2 linked regions of the Saccharomyces cerevisiae S288C genome follow. The protein of the gene in region 1 binds, or shares a complex with, the protein of each later gene. Each region holds a gene or a part of one and is shown on either strand. Other genes may lie near its edges. The genes, in order: TAF6 and TAF9. A codon is read from its position in the direction of its gene.

What was found.
Region 2: the proteins of TAF6 (region 1) and TAF9 are in contact, whole or in part, in a cryo-EM structure (PDB 6T9I), measured with the Saccharomyces cerevisiae proteins. Residues at the interface, in NP_011403.1 of Saccharomyces cerevisiae: Ile10 (codon at 3,826), Trp11 (codon at 3,823), Ser12 (codon at 3,820), Pro13 (codon at 3,817), Asp15 (codon at 3,811), Thr16 (codon at 3,808), Val17 (codon at 3,805), Val20 (codon at 3,796), Ala21 (codon at 3,793), Ser23 (codon at 3,787), Leu24 (codon at 3,784), Leu26 (codon at 3,778), Ile29 (codon at 3,769), Asn30 (codon at 3,766), Val33 (codon at 3,757), Ala36 (codon at 3,748), Leu37 (codon at 3,745), Asp40 (codon at 3,736), Val41 (codon at 3,733), Arg44 (codon at 3,724), Ile45 (codon at 3,721), Leu46 (codon at 3,718), Glu47 (codon at 3,715), Ile48 (codon at 3,712), Ile49 (codon at 3,709), Val53 (codon at 3,697), Asp62 (codon at 3,670), Val63 (codon at 3,667), Leu64 (codon at 3,664), Thr65 (codon at 3,661); in NP_013963.1 of Saccharomyces cerevisiae: Pro30 (codon at 2,809), Arg31 (codon at 2,806), Asp32 (codon at 2,803), Val33 (codon at 2,800), Leu35 (codon at 2,794), Leu36 (codon at 2,791), Leu39 (codon at 2,782), Leu40 (codon at 2,779), Gln43 (codon at 2,770), Ile45 (codon at 2,764), Gln47 (codon at 2,758), Tyr48 (codon at 2,755), Glu49 (codon at 2,752), Asp50 (codon at 2,749), Gln51 (codon at 2,746), Val52 (codon at 2,743), Leu54 (codon at 2,737), Gln55 (codon at 2,734), Leu56 (codon at 2,731), Met57 (codon at 2,728), Asp58 (codon at 2,725), Phe59 (codon at 2,722), Ala60 (codon at 2,719), His61 (codon at 2,716), Arg62 (codon at 2,713), Tyr63 (codon at 2,710), Thr64 (codon at 2,707), Gln65 (codon at 2,704), Val67 (codon at 2,698), Leu68 (codon at 2,695).

The regions. Positions count from the first base shown.
Region 1 is NC_001139.9:295,876-303,573, forward strand, and holds TAF6 (TATA-binding protein-associated factor TAF6), read right to left. Parts: upstream 3,854-7,698; coding exon 2,303-3,853; downstream 1-2,302. Other genes in the region: SLD3 (Sld3p), read left to right, coding at 57-2,063; ribosome biosynthesis protein NSA1, read left to right, coding at 4,103-5,494; CUE3 (Cue3p), read right to left, coding at 5,662-7,536.
Region 2 is NC_001145.3:739,370-745,866, reverse strand, and holds TAF9 (chromatin modification protein), read right to left. Parts: upstream 2,897-6,497; coding exon 2,423-2,896; downstream 1-2,422. Other genes in the region: BCH1 (exomer complex subunit), read right to left, coding at 1-2,118; GTPase-activating protein RNA1, read left to right, coding at 3,132-4,355; RNH1 (RNA-DNA hybrid ribonuclease), read right to left, coding at 4,555-5,601; TRI1 (Tri1p), read right to left, coding at 6,002-6,497. UniProt on the Saccharomyces cerevisiae protein: Functions as a component of both the DNA-binding general transcription initiation factor complex TFIID and the transcription coactivator SAGA complex.

The sequences.
Region 1 (7,698 bases):
TTCATAACTGCTGAAGGGTTAAGATCGTATAGGTAGGAACGATCTGACCTCTCATAATGGAAACATGGGAAGTCATAGCATCGGTAAAAGAAGCAACAAAAGGCCTTGACTTGAGCTTAGATCATCCACTTATTATTAAATCCGAGGACGTGCCCAGTAACATTCTCCAATTACTGCAACAGAAGAATCGACGTCAATTGAAACACATCTGCATGAAATCAAGAAAAGAGTATTTTCTACTAGAGGAATATGGGCCAGGATTTTGGGTTAAGTGGCCGTACAATTATTTCAATGGTTACAGCTTACCAGAAAGGCGTACGGAAGTTGTAACGACAGTTGAAAGAGAAAGAGCTAAGCGTGAAACGTTAAAAACATGGGACGAATTGAAATTTAAAGAGCTTCTTCATTTATGGTCAGAAGAACCCAAGGGCTCGTGTAAGCTTGAGAAGGACAAAGACCTTAAACTGGATATGAATCCCCCAGATATGAAAGGCGAATCAAAAATTAATGACTACTATTCAGACCCTAAAGAGTACATAGAAAGTAAGTATTATGATGCTCTTTTTTCCATACATACGCCTCTCGCATATTTCGTCAAGTCAAATTTAGTAAGGCTCAAAAATACCTGCCGAACCAAGTACGGAAGTGACAGTTACAAAATAGCCTATCAAGCCATGCTGCAAAAATTTCTTCTCTCAATTGTACAATTCAAAGATAGACATGATAACAGGCTTTTATTAGAGCCCTTTTCTAGTCCCATAGCAGATGAAAAAAGGAAGAACTGTCTCACAAAATTTGTTATCCAAGATGAAAACAAAAACAGCTCAACCATTGCTGATTTATGTGTTGTATTAAAATCCCGCGAAATAAAGCTACAAATATTATTGCTATTAGAGATAATAGGATTGAACGATTTAGATTGGAATTTTAGAGATTTTGAGAAAAAGTATAAATTAAAATTGAAGAAAAGATCACTTAATTTGACAAAAAAGGGATTAGTTCGTCGAAGATCGAAGAAAAAAACCAGCGAAAAAGACAAAGGAATCGAGAGAATAACAACATCTTTGGATTATTGTGAACAGTTAGACTTGTACTTAGATAGAGCATGCATCTTGGACATTCTACTATCAAGTGAAACGCCCAACCCAGATGCCATAGAAGCATCAAATGGAACAATACAAGAGCATAAAAAAAATATCCTAGACAAAAGCAAAGAAGCCTCATTGGTTGGGTTCATAAATTATGTTCTTATTCCATATTTCAACAAAAAGGTACCACACGCCGTTGAATTTATAATTCAAAAGCTCAAGGGACCAAGCATGAGACCAAAGAGAGCCCTGAAAAAGGTCAACGATAGCACAAATGTATCGTCACCTAATACTGTAGAAACGTATAACAGGTTATCCACGAGTCAACGTGCCTCTCGCTCTTCAATCATTAATTCCGTCCCATCTTCACCCGCATTGAGAAGGGTGGACGCTAATTTGTTCAGCAGAAAATCTATAGCTTCGCCCACCCCTGAACTTTTGAATTCTAGAACGAACTCTAACTTGAATGAATTTCTCGAAAGTGAAACTAGAAGCTTAAAGCGCCCTTCACAATTGGGAAGGACGAAGTCTGATCTAACGATGAATCATTTACAAAAACGGCAGTTTTCTGTCTCTGACTTAAGCACAACAAGAGTACCGAATTCATCAACTATCACACTCAAAACGCCTTTCTCGCACTCAACTATTAATGCATACAAAACTATGAATAACTCTTTTCGCAGAGTTGGGAAACGTAAAGATATCAATGAAACGATACGCCTACATGAACGTGTAGACTCTGAGGAAAACGTACAAGTTCAAGCCACTCCTGCTGTGAAAAAAAGAACTGTGACACCTAATAAAAAGGCGCAACTTCAAAGCATCATTGAATCGCCGCTAAATTTCAAGGATGATGATACGCATGAAGGCAGAAAAAATACCTCCAATATTACCTCTACTCCCACTAATAAGCCCCCGGAAAATAGCTCAAAAAGGAGAGTAAGAAGACGTTTATTTGCTCCAGAATCCACATAGAATAAGAAACTGCGAGACCACCTTCGCTGGCAAGTAGTTGACCCAACTCCATCTTTGTAGCTTTTCTTGGACGAAAAGGGAATAAAATAAAACTAAGCTACAACAATTTCGCACTTCGGGGGCCTTTGAGTATACAATTAAATAACTCATCATGCATATATATATATATACATACAATGGCGTATGTAAAAACTGTTATATAACATTACCGTTGTACTATTAGTATAAACCGATTCTCACTATTCGCCAAAAAATATCGCACTAATTAATTCTTTTGCGTCGTCTCTTTTCAAAATGTGAAATCCAATAGTGACACCACACCTCTCTAGCAATTTTTCCTTATCCTCATCCGTAACTTTTTCACCTTTACCCTCGTACAAATCTGGTAAATCCTTTTTTAGAACTAACAATGCACTAATTACAGTATCAACCAAGATTTGAGTTTCTTCTTTAGTAAATTTGGTCCTAGTTGGATTGGAGTCATCGTTCAAATGTTCCTCTATATTGTCTAGAGTTATTCCGCTTTCATTGAATACCAAGCGCGCCCAATTATTTAGGTTTCCTAAGAAGAATCTGATGGATTCACCTTCTAGTACCGATACACCCTTTAAGCACCCATAGTAAGTCCCAAAAACACGGTTTATGTCCAAAAATGTCTTTAGCAGTGTCCTAGTTACTCTTGGCTTCAGGGATTTGTATGCTTGAGGAAATTTTTTCAATACATAGTCCAACAAAGATGCGGCAAAATCACGTAGTGCATTCGTTCTTTCTAAAAATTCATGAATTTCTTGCGGCGAATCATCTTTTGGTGATCCACCAAGTTTTTTTGCTAATAGCAAGGTTAAAATGGAAGGCATTAACGAATGAATATAAGGGTCCAGGAAAATAGAAGTATTGCTTAGTAAAGAGTAAATCATTTCCAAAATTGTTGTTAGCAATTGTAAATCGGAAAGATTTTGTGTGATTTGTTCGGCAATAAATTGAATAAAATATGGAACCAGTTGGTGCAGGCCACTATCAGTTCGTAGTGAAGTCAAAGCTGCTTGTTTCATATGCTGTGCAGCTTCATCAGCTTGACTCTTCGCTGTCAAGGTTGAAATGACCTTATTGAAATAAATCTGTAATTCTTTGGATAAAACGTGTTTCACTAAAGGTTTGACTTCAGTATTCTGTCCTGGTTTAACATTAGACAGGTGTTGAGAGGCGCCTGTATCCGTCACAGAAGCACTTGCTGTCGTCGACGTTACAGGTGTTTGGAGGCTGTTATCATTCAAAGCAGTGACAATAGCACCTCTAATAAATGGTGGTTGGGATACCCTTATATCATTCAAATTTGGATTTTGGATTATGGCAGGTTGAACCCCTTCAACTGCTAGCCAATGTGTAGTAAAAGTTGGTAGACGAGGCACTTGCGGTAATGGCTCATTTATTAATCTATCAAAATCTACTTCTTCCTCATCCAGGTAGTAAACCGACTGTCCTCCACTTGTGTTAACCTTACTAAATGATACAGCTTTATTAACTTCAGAGCCATCATAATATCCATATAAAGGTTCCACATTCAGAACACGCAGGGCCTTCGATACATCGTCTGTAGTTAAAACATCTCTTTTAGAGTGTCTTTTAAACTTGACTGCCTGTTCAATAATCTCTAGAATACGGTATTCAACGTCCATAGCAAGTGCTTTCAACACGTCATCGTTGATATTTTCCAACCCAAGCGACTCAGCGACATCTTTAACAGTATCTTGTGGAGACCAAATTGTGTAAGATTGCTGCTGTGTAGACATTTTAACAGGCTATCAACTACACTGAGGCGTCCTTTGCTTCCTTTTTAAAGCCAATCTATTGTTTTCGCTCATGAACTACTTTTGCTGCTACTTGAATCGGTGTTTGTTATTGATGGTTTCCGGGTATTTTTTTGGTAATAAAATAAAGCTGAAAAATTTTGTAAAGCGATGCCCAATCTCGAAGCCTCACTTCAATGAACATAATACAGAGAAAATTTAACCATAAATAGGCCCAGCTTCGATCGTAAAATGAGGTTACTAGTCAGCTGTGTGGATAGTGGATCCATAAAGGAAGTTTTGTGTAACATCGGGACTGACACTTCCGTACAATCAGCACTGCAGCCTTTTCATGTGGCACCTCATCTAGCCGAAGGATTGAAAGCTTACGTTGACAGGATGTGGGTGATATCCGAAGATGAAGCCATCTTAGCAAGGAATTCAGGGGTCGTCGAACTTGTAAAGATTTCGAAACACCTTAAAGAAAATGAAGCTCTCCAGGTCGATCCCAAAGGAGAAAGCAAAAATGAAAAGAGCCTTTCCGATGATCTACCCAAATTTGACATATCCGAGTTTGAGATAACCAGCTCAGTTTCAGACCTTTTTGATGATGCCAAATTGGAATCACTTTCAAGTAAATCTGTTAAAAGAACCAAGTTGGTGGATGGTTTTGTCACATTATGTCCCATAAAAAAGGATTCGTCGAATAACACATTCGTAGCTGCTACCAAATCGGGATTATTACATATTATAAAAAAAGGAGAAGATAAAAAGTTAATAAAACTAGCATCCCTTGGACTGAAAGCACCAGTAGAATTTCTTCAGTTATATGATCTAGAAGATACCGATACTGATAAATATATATTTGCATACGGAGGGGAGGAGAATTTAATAAAATTAGTGGAAATAGATTCGAGTTTCCAATCTTTAAAGCAAATTTGGGAAGCCAAGAATGTTAAAAACGACAGGTTGGATATGAGAGTCCCAGTATGGCCCATGGCCCTAAGATTTTTGGAGCCCTCCCCTGGTAAAACTGAAAAGGGTAAGCTGAACTACCAGTTTGCAGCCATAACCCGTTGGTCCCACCTCACCAAATACAGCACACAACATGGCAGAAAACCGTTCGCTCAGATAGATTTATTACCTAACCGTGAACCATTATCTCAGATGGAAGTTTTTGATGCCAAGGGAGAAAATGTTGTCTCTTCGTTGGGGAATTTTCAATCTGAAACCTTTAATGAACTGAATGTGATTACTACTGACTACAAAAAGAATGTTTTTAAATTCGATGGTAATGGAAGAATGTTGGGCAAGGTGGGTAGAGATGATATCACTGGTTCGTCAACCTATATTCATGTACATGACGGCAAATATCTTTTACAAGGTGGTTTAGATAGGTATGTTCGGATCTTCGATATAAAAACTAACAAAATGCTGGTGAAGGTTTATGTTGGGTCCCGTATAAATTTTATTGTTATGCTGGATGACGTTGAAATCGAGATGCCACTAAGTCCAAGTGCGAAAGCTGCCAAAGGGAAGCAAAAAAGGAAGGTTACAGAACTTGAAGAAGACGCAGATGAGCTTTGGAATAAATTGGAGGGAAAGGTAGCTGCTTCTAAAGCCAGTAAGAAAAGCAAAATTTAATAGTAAAGGACGCTAATTGAAGGCAAAGTTTTACTAGTCGGCGGGAAAAATTATTAAAAAAAGCACTTCCTGAACGCGACGCTGAATAACTTATAATACGTTACATAATTGTATACCGTCTAGTAAACTTACATACGCTTGTCTATCTTGTATGCTGATGCATTTTATCAAATAGCGTTATTTCCCGCACGAGCCAATTTTTTATCGTGCCCCTTCTTACGGTTATGGTTAGCTCTAGCCCCTTTCCTTTTTTCATTCTTAGCATGCTGTCTTTTCTTCTGTTCAGTAGATTGAGGTTCATGTTTCTTAATATTTTCAGATTTTTTTTGTTTGGCTTGTTCTTTGACGACATTTCCATCATTTTGGCTATCACGATTATGAACATAAGACGTTTTCCCTGTTTTGCTATTTCCTTTGAACATAAACTTCTTTTCTAAAAGTCTTGCTCGGGTAGGAGATCTTTCTAACATCCGACACCAACCTTCGATTTTTTCATCCGACCATGAAGTCATTTCTTTCATAGTTTTCCTGACTTTTGTACCTCTTTTTGATCTCTCAAATAATTTCGGATCCTCTTTCAATAGATTCCACAAGTAAGCTTCAACAATATGATAGTTATGATCTTGTCGCACTTCATTAGAATCATCTTTTGTATCATAGCTTTCTTCGTCTTCTTGAAGTCCAATTCTTTTCGAAGGATCGGACCGGTTCACATCGGCTTCATCATAAGTGTCATCCCTTTCATCTTCATCAGCCTCGTATAAAAGTTTCAATGCTCTTGTCAAAGTTTTATTTCTTAATTCATCCGGAACACCCTCCGAGATAATCTTTTTGTCTAGCTCTTTATTTTTTGAGCTATCTCCTCTATCCAATATACTCAGTTCTTCAGTAAAGGATGCATTATCACCATCTGACACCGGCTCTACTTCTTCCTCCGCAGGTTCTCTGGAGAATGCTTCGATAATGGTAGGATCCTCAAATATTTTATTCGTTACTAATTCAATGTTATTATCATAGGCAAGCAACGTTTGAGATAATTGATATTTAGAAAACTGGGGGAACAATTCCATCAACGCGGACAGTTGTTCTTCATTAACTTCAGTACCTGATGATGTTGGATAGCTCATATGGTCTCCTTCGTCCATTGACAACCCCCCTAAATTCAGAAATAGTAACTTGCTCTTCAAATCAGGAAGCCTTTTGTGGACTCCTTCATTTATGAGCATTGTTCCTAAAAGAGGATATAACGCCAAAGTTTCAAAATTGCTTATGCCTAATTCTTTAGTTATTTTTAGTAAACGATCAGCAGAAACAGAAAATAAACTGATAATGATCAATTCTCTAGCCTCTTTATGACCCCGGCCCTGTCCCTTTGCCCATAATGCCTCTAAAATTTCAATCCAATTTGCCGTAAAGAAGTTCTCCGCAAACTTATTTGGCTGCATGGATTTGGCAGACAGCAGATCTTCAACGCACCTTAAATCTATTCTTTTAAATTTTCCAGATTCTATTAACTGCTTCAAATGCTGTTGAACTTGGTACGATTTGTCCAATTGTACACGTTGCGTGTTGATCCGTGGTTTCAATGAGCCATCGATCAAACCACGAATAGAATCTGGATTACGTCTAACATATACTTTGATCAAATTCCACAGGGAGTCACCAAAAATCTGAAGATGTAATAACCCGCATTTCTTGATCAATGAAAATATCCAGCCTTTTAGTAAATATAACTGTTCAGACACATCATGGTTGATACCGAGACTTAATAACTTTCCTTCCTCATCAGCAATTTCATGCAAGTAAGTTCTCAAAAATAAACGAAGATGATCAAGTGTAGATTCATCTAATAATTCAACGTTAGCACCTTGCATCAAATACTCAAAATACGTTACATAGGTTTCTATTAGATGCAGCCATACTACGGGGTCCTTTTCAATTAATTGAGCTCTGAGTTTAAACGGTGGAAATTTGACAATGGGCAGAGAAATATCTGCATTACCCCCATTTATTTCAATAACGCGGTTGTACCTTGATAACATTATTCTTAGTGATTCTATCCTATAAAAATTTCCAAGATTCAATAGTTAACTCGAATGTCTCTCATTTATGAGAACTAGTGTTTTATATTTTCATTTTTTCTATGGCCGCGCAAAATCCATTGGCAGATATTCAGGTATATAAACGTTACAAAGCCAAGAGGA
Region 2 (6,497 bases), on another chromosome or scaffold:
AATCAATTGGGCTACTGGGTCAGAAAATCTAGAGGCAATTTCATTATGTACTTTAGTAATGCCCATATCTTGTACTGCAACACTCAGAGCATCTATTAATATTATTGAGAACTCGATGTACCAACGATGATTCCAGCAACAAATCTTGACTACTAGATCGATGATTGAGCTGTCGATGTCATTGATACTTGACAATATTTGAGAAGAGGTTAACTCGGAGTTTGCTGAGACTGAATCCCTCCTAATACGCTTATGCTCGTCAATGTAAAACTGTAATAGATTCTTTGCGCATACTGGAGAAAATCTTTGGGAAAGCCCAATTTGGAAAGCCTTCGCAGCTTCTGGAAGATGTCCCAGTCTTTTCGCACAAAGGCCGAATAATTCCCATTCAACAGTTAATTTGTGATATTTACTGTTTTGAGCATCAAAATACAATTGCTCTGATTGCCAATCGGTGTAAGTTTTCAAATCTTCGTATAGTAACATGAAGAGATTATCCAACCATCTTTCGCATAGCCTCTTTGATCTCATTTTGGATATATCATTACCGCGAACTTCTGCTTCATCAATGGAAGAAGTGGAGCCTTGGTACTCGTCTTCCATAACGAAAATTTTTGATCTATATTTCAACAGCTGCTCCCATCCTGTTATTTGGACAATTTCTGTCAATAATTTATAGGCTAGTTGGAAAGTAGACTTTAAACTTGACGCAGAGAGATTGACTAGGTTTGGATCTGCGGACTTTTGCTCCAACTGGACATCCATGGGGTTCAATGACGAAATCTCCTCAATTGAGGCATCCAATGGTAATGGCAGATGAAGATTTTCATCTGAAGTAATAGGCGCAATTCTTCTAAGAACGTATTTTTCCTTAACCTGTGACATGGGGCAGGCGTTTAACGATAGCAAGGCATTTGACATATCGTTTAGTTTAATGTATATTCTAGTCAATAAATACCAAGTTTTAAATTCGTTTGGTGCACAGTTAACAGCCTCCATGGCTACTTCCTTAGCAAGCTTGTAATCTCTCTTGACATCCAGTAAGAATTCACTTTGAATACTTAATAATTCGGATTTGAAGATTAGCTGGATATGGCTAGTCTTTGAATCGTCGGCTAAGAACGAAGAGGGGGAATTTAGTTGCTCGTTGATCAGGTCAACTGCATCTATCTCTAAATCGCACGCAAAATAAACACGAATTAATATTATTACTGCTTCTGGATGAATTTCTATTAACTTCTTGAGCATTTTACGACATGCTTCCAAACTCTTAGTTAACCTAACTATTTCCACTAAAGTTTCCACTAAATAATTATTGGTTAACGAGGGATTTAAAACGTGAGTAGGTGCATCTAAATAAACACCTTTTTCATAGACCAAGGGGAACAGTTTAATAAAGTTATTGGCAACATCTTCCAACTCACCCGAGGTAAATGGATTGAAAATTAGTGTTTCTACCAAATTCTGGGATTCTCCATCCGCACGATTATCTTTCATAATCATAATGTCACGTACAATACCACTCATAAACGTTTCCGCCCAAATCATGTTGACGTTTAAATCCTGTGAGTTGCGGCCAGATGACGCTTCTGCCACGGAGGGAAGTTGCGATTGTTCACCGTCGCTATTTATAATGTAGGTTTGCACAGTTCCTGGAATGTGAACTATAATGTTAACATCATATTTCCTAAACGCATTCCAAGAACTGATAGAAATCTTCGATACGTGAAAGTGCTTCTTCTTACCAAACCAAATTTGGGGCGTGTCTAAGAAAAGATCGGTTATCTTTTTGGCAAAGATTGTAATAGAAGTTGGATCCGAAGTATCGATACCCATACAGTAAAAGAAAGTGCCGATCTGCCCCTTTAATTTGTCATGGGAATGTAACTCCGTAACTATGGTCGTAGGATCTTGTCCATTGATGTTTGAAGTTGCTCCGTTATCGTTGGCGGAGGCAGTAGCAGTTGTTGTGCTCGAGGATGAAGGTAACGATTTGATCAAAGTAATTAAATCAGGCGGACCCAAGTCTTGGAATTGTCCCACTCTGGCTCTCCTCTGGTGTAGCGCATAGCCTATCACGTCTTCTTTCACTTCCGGTATGGAGGTTTGAGACAACATGGTTAGGACTTCAAGTTTTCAGTTTATCCTTTTCACGTTCTAAAAATCAATACAGCGCGGAAAGTGCTCTCAAGAAGATGAATTGAGATGTTTAAGGGTCCATTTGTTACTACATTATCGTGTAGATCTCATTTCTCTAACTTTCCATGTAGGAAAGGGCAGGCAGGAAAAAGAACATTAGAGAACATGATCACGATACACGACTAGCGCATTATTTAGTGTATATTACTCTATTATGCATTCTACATGACGCATCTTCCGGAAGAACTTGATTTAGTGTACTTATGATATATAAGCGGTGCATTCACATAGACTTTGGGTCCTCAAGGTCCCACTCCTTCGCTGTGAGACAATATTTTTCTGGGGGAAGCCTGACACCCCACGTACCCATCACTTGAGGTAATGCCTTCTTGTTTCTTTCCGCAGCTAACTGTAACATGAGCTCCTTAGGTGCCGTAGGCTTAAATTGGTATTGTGTTCTCGCTGCAATGGCAAGCCGTATGTCTTCTACTCCTAATCCACTGCCGGCAGAATTTCCACTGCCAGCGTAGTCGTTGTAAACCAACGCGTCCTTAAGGACTCCTTGTGTGTACCTATGTGCAAAATCCATCAATTGTAGCGGTACTTGGTCCTCATATTGATGAATCGACTGTGATGCGAGGAGCAGATGCAAAAGACGGACATCTCGTGGCGTTTCCTCTTGTGTTGAGTCCGGACCAACTTCTGATACTGAGCCCACTGAGTTTTTATTCAAAACATTCTTGCCTCCGCCGTTCATAATGGTCTGTGAAGTCCTCTAGTCTTTTCTTGTTGTCGTGTTGTTTCATAATGTCAAATTCTACTTTTGATTTAAAGCTCTTAGTTTGGTCATGGAATGCATGTCACTATGCACGTTGTGGGACAATTAATGGAAAAAAATTTATTAGGAAGATATTGATCAAAGGCATAATATCACGGTAAAAGGTGAATATAGGCCATTTTAACAGGCTGTCTTTCGAAACAGATTTTTAGCTATGGCTACCTTGCACTTCGTTCCTCAGCACGAGGAAGAACAAGTTTACTCCATCTCTGGGAAGGCACTCAAGTTAACAACCAGTGACGATATCAAACCATACCTGGAAGAATTGGCAGCTTTGAAAACCTGTACCAAATTAGACCTTTCAGGGAATACAATCGGTACTGAAGCTTCGGAAGCATTAGCTAAATGCATCGCTGAAAATACACAGGTCAGGGAATCTTTGGTTGAAGTAAATTTTGCTGACTTATACACTTCGAGGTTGGTTGACGAAGTCGTTGATTCGTTGAAGTTTTTATTGCCTGTTCTGTTGAAATGTCCTCACTTGGAGATTGTGAACCTTTCTGATAATGCGTTTGGGCTAAGAACAATCGAGTTACTAGAAGATTACATTGCACATGCCGTGAATATCAAACATTTGATCTTAAGTAACAATGGTATGGGCCCTTTTGCTGGTGAAAGGATTGGTAAGGCCCTATTTCATCTCGCTCAAAATAAGAAAGCTGCTTCCAAACCATTTTTGGAAACTTTTATCTGTGGTAGAAATAGATTAGAGAATGGATCCGCAGTCTACTTAGCTCTGGGTTTGAAAAGCCACTCCGAAGGTTTGAAAGTCGTAAAGCTGTACCAAAATGGTATTAGGCCTAAAGGTGTCGCCACGCTAATTCATTACGGTTTACAGTACTTGAAAAACTTGGAAATCTTGGATCTTCAAGACAATACTTTCACGAAACATGCTTCTTTGATCCTTGCTAAGGCCTTGCCTACATGGAAGGATAGTTTATTTGAATTGAATTTGAACGACTGTCTTTTGAAAACTGCTGGTTCAGATGAAGTCTTTAAAGTATTCACCGAAGTTAAATTCCCCAATTTGCATGTCTTGAAATTCGAATATAATGAAATGGCTCAAGAAACCATTGAAGTATCCTTCTTACCGGCTATGGAAAAGGGAAATTTACCTGAATTGGAAAAGCTAGAAATAAATGGTAACAGATTAGATGAAGATTCTGATGCTTTAGATTTGCTCCAAAGCAAATTTGATGATTTAGAGGTTGACGATTTTGAAGAGGTCGATAGTGAAGATGAGGAAGGCGAGGACGAGGAAGACGAGGACGAGGATGAAAAACTCGAAGAAATTGAAACGGAAAGGCTTGAAAAGGAACTGCTAGAAGTACAAGTAGATGATCTTGCTGAACGTTTAGCTGAAACTGAAATCAAATAGCTATGAATAAAAGTAAAAATAAACACAATCAACTGTGGACGAGGTTCAGGCAAATATCATGGTGACACGCTTATAGATAGTTATCGGGTAAGTTAAAAAACCAAATAGCTGATGTATGTATATGTATGCAAAAGATATAAAATATATATTTCTATTACAGGTACAACAGGTCCAGTAAGAAGCCAAGCAAAAAACAGCATTATCGTCTAGATGCTCCTTTCTTCGCCAGAAAATCTGCCATTTCATTTCCTGGATCACCATCGTGTCCTTTTACCCATTCAATCTGAAATTTACCATTATTTTTGAAGCACTCTTTATTCAACTCATAGTACTTTTTAACTTTAACGAACCTCTGCACCAAAGGAACAATTAAATCAGAATTAGGTAGCCCTTCAAGTTTTTTATTATCATACGTCATATACCTGTCATTTAATAATTTGGTTACGTACTCTGAATCAGTTTTGATTTGATAATTTACTTTTTCCTTTTCATTAGTTAACTTTTCCCAGATTTTCTTCAAAGCTTCTGATACTGCTTCGATTTCAGCTCTATTATTAGTTTGAGCTCCCGATAATAAGGGTTCTGAAATATTTTCCTCTGGCGCTCCTTCAAAATATGCACCATAACCTGCCCTTGAAGATGACGTGCCGTTTCCAAAACTTGAACCATCACAGTAAACGTTCATAGACTTGTTGTACATGGTATTGCTAGAAAGCTTATACTTAGATTCAAAACTTTCTTTGGATATATTCATGAGCTTGTAATCATGCGCACTCATACCACTAATGAAGTTTTCCGCAGCTAATTGGTCTTCAAACTTCTTGAAGGTTATACCCCTTTTATGCTTGACATAGGCTTGACAGTCTTTCCAATTGTTAAAGATTTTACTCTCGATATTTGGAACATTACTCTTTACTGAATAAAAGGTATTTGTATTAGCAGAGCTTAAAGATGAACATGCTGATGACGATGTCAAGGAGGAATAATGAAGTGGCCGATTCCTTCGATGAACTCGCTTTTGAGTGGTATGAGGTTTACTAACTTGCCCTCCAGCATGCGTTGAACTTCCATAGTTTGATGTAGTATTTGGTTGACCTAGGAAAGATTTCGCTTGCTCGTAGCTGTTAAATTTTTTATAAATTGCACCACCATAACCATCAACTTGGTTTTTACATTCATTCCATGTATTATAGATCCCAGTTTCCCTGCCCTTTCTAACCGCGTAGAAGTTCCCTTGCCTTGCCATAATTAGGAATCGATAGTTCCTTCGATAAGCAAGGAGTGACACTTTAACTAATTTAAACAACGTGTATTATTGTGCTGCCATGAAATTAATATAGATCTTTACGACTATTGTACTTGCTTTTATTCATTGTTGATGCTGCTGTCATTTTTACATTTTTTTCTCCAGATAAAAAATAAAAAAAATATGCCATTAATTGATATCATCAGAATTTGACGAAATTCTCAAATCGAATTTGCCATAGTATTTCTTTAACGCCGTGAAGTGAAATTATTTATTACTAATGCTACATTAATTGTTAATTTACCTGTTTCAAGTACAATACAGTAGGTGCAGTGTGCTTTATACATGTCATCAAAGAGGAAAAAAAATCATTAAATTTGTATAAGTGCTACAGCCAAGATCAACCGCTTAAATTGGGAAGAGATTCGTTTTCCAATTTGATTTCTTTTTCGGGTGTTTGCTTTTGTTCCTCTTCATGTTTCACAATTTCATCGGGATTAAACAAGTGCTTAGTTAAGAGTTTATTCATTGAAAACATCGTCATTTTTTTGCCAAAAATTGGTTCCATCTTCTCATCGCATAGAATTTCTCTACGATCTTTTGGGTTTTGAAGATCATGCTCTTTGATATACTGCCATATCATCTTCACTACTTGCGTTCGTGGCAGTTCTTCAGATCCTAGAAACTTTTGTAAAGGAGCTGACAACAGAACTTTGCGGACGGAAATGCTGTTGGAATCAGGACTATCATTCTTTTTCTTCTTCCTTTTAGATTTACTTTCACTTTTACCTTTCCTTTTCCTCGTAGACCTCAAGGGTCTTTCTTCTTCCTTCTGTAACCTCAAAGATAGTTCTTGATCCCGACTAATGAGGTCGTTCTTCGGAATTAAGACTCTT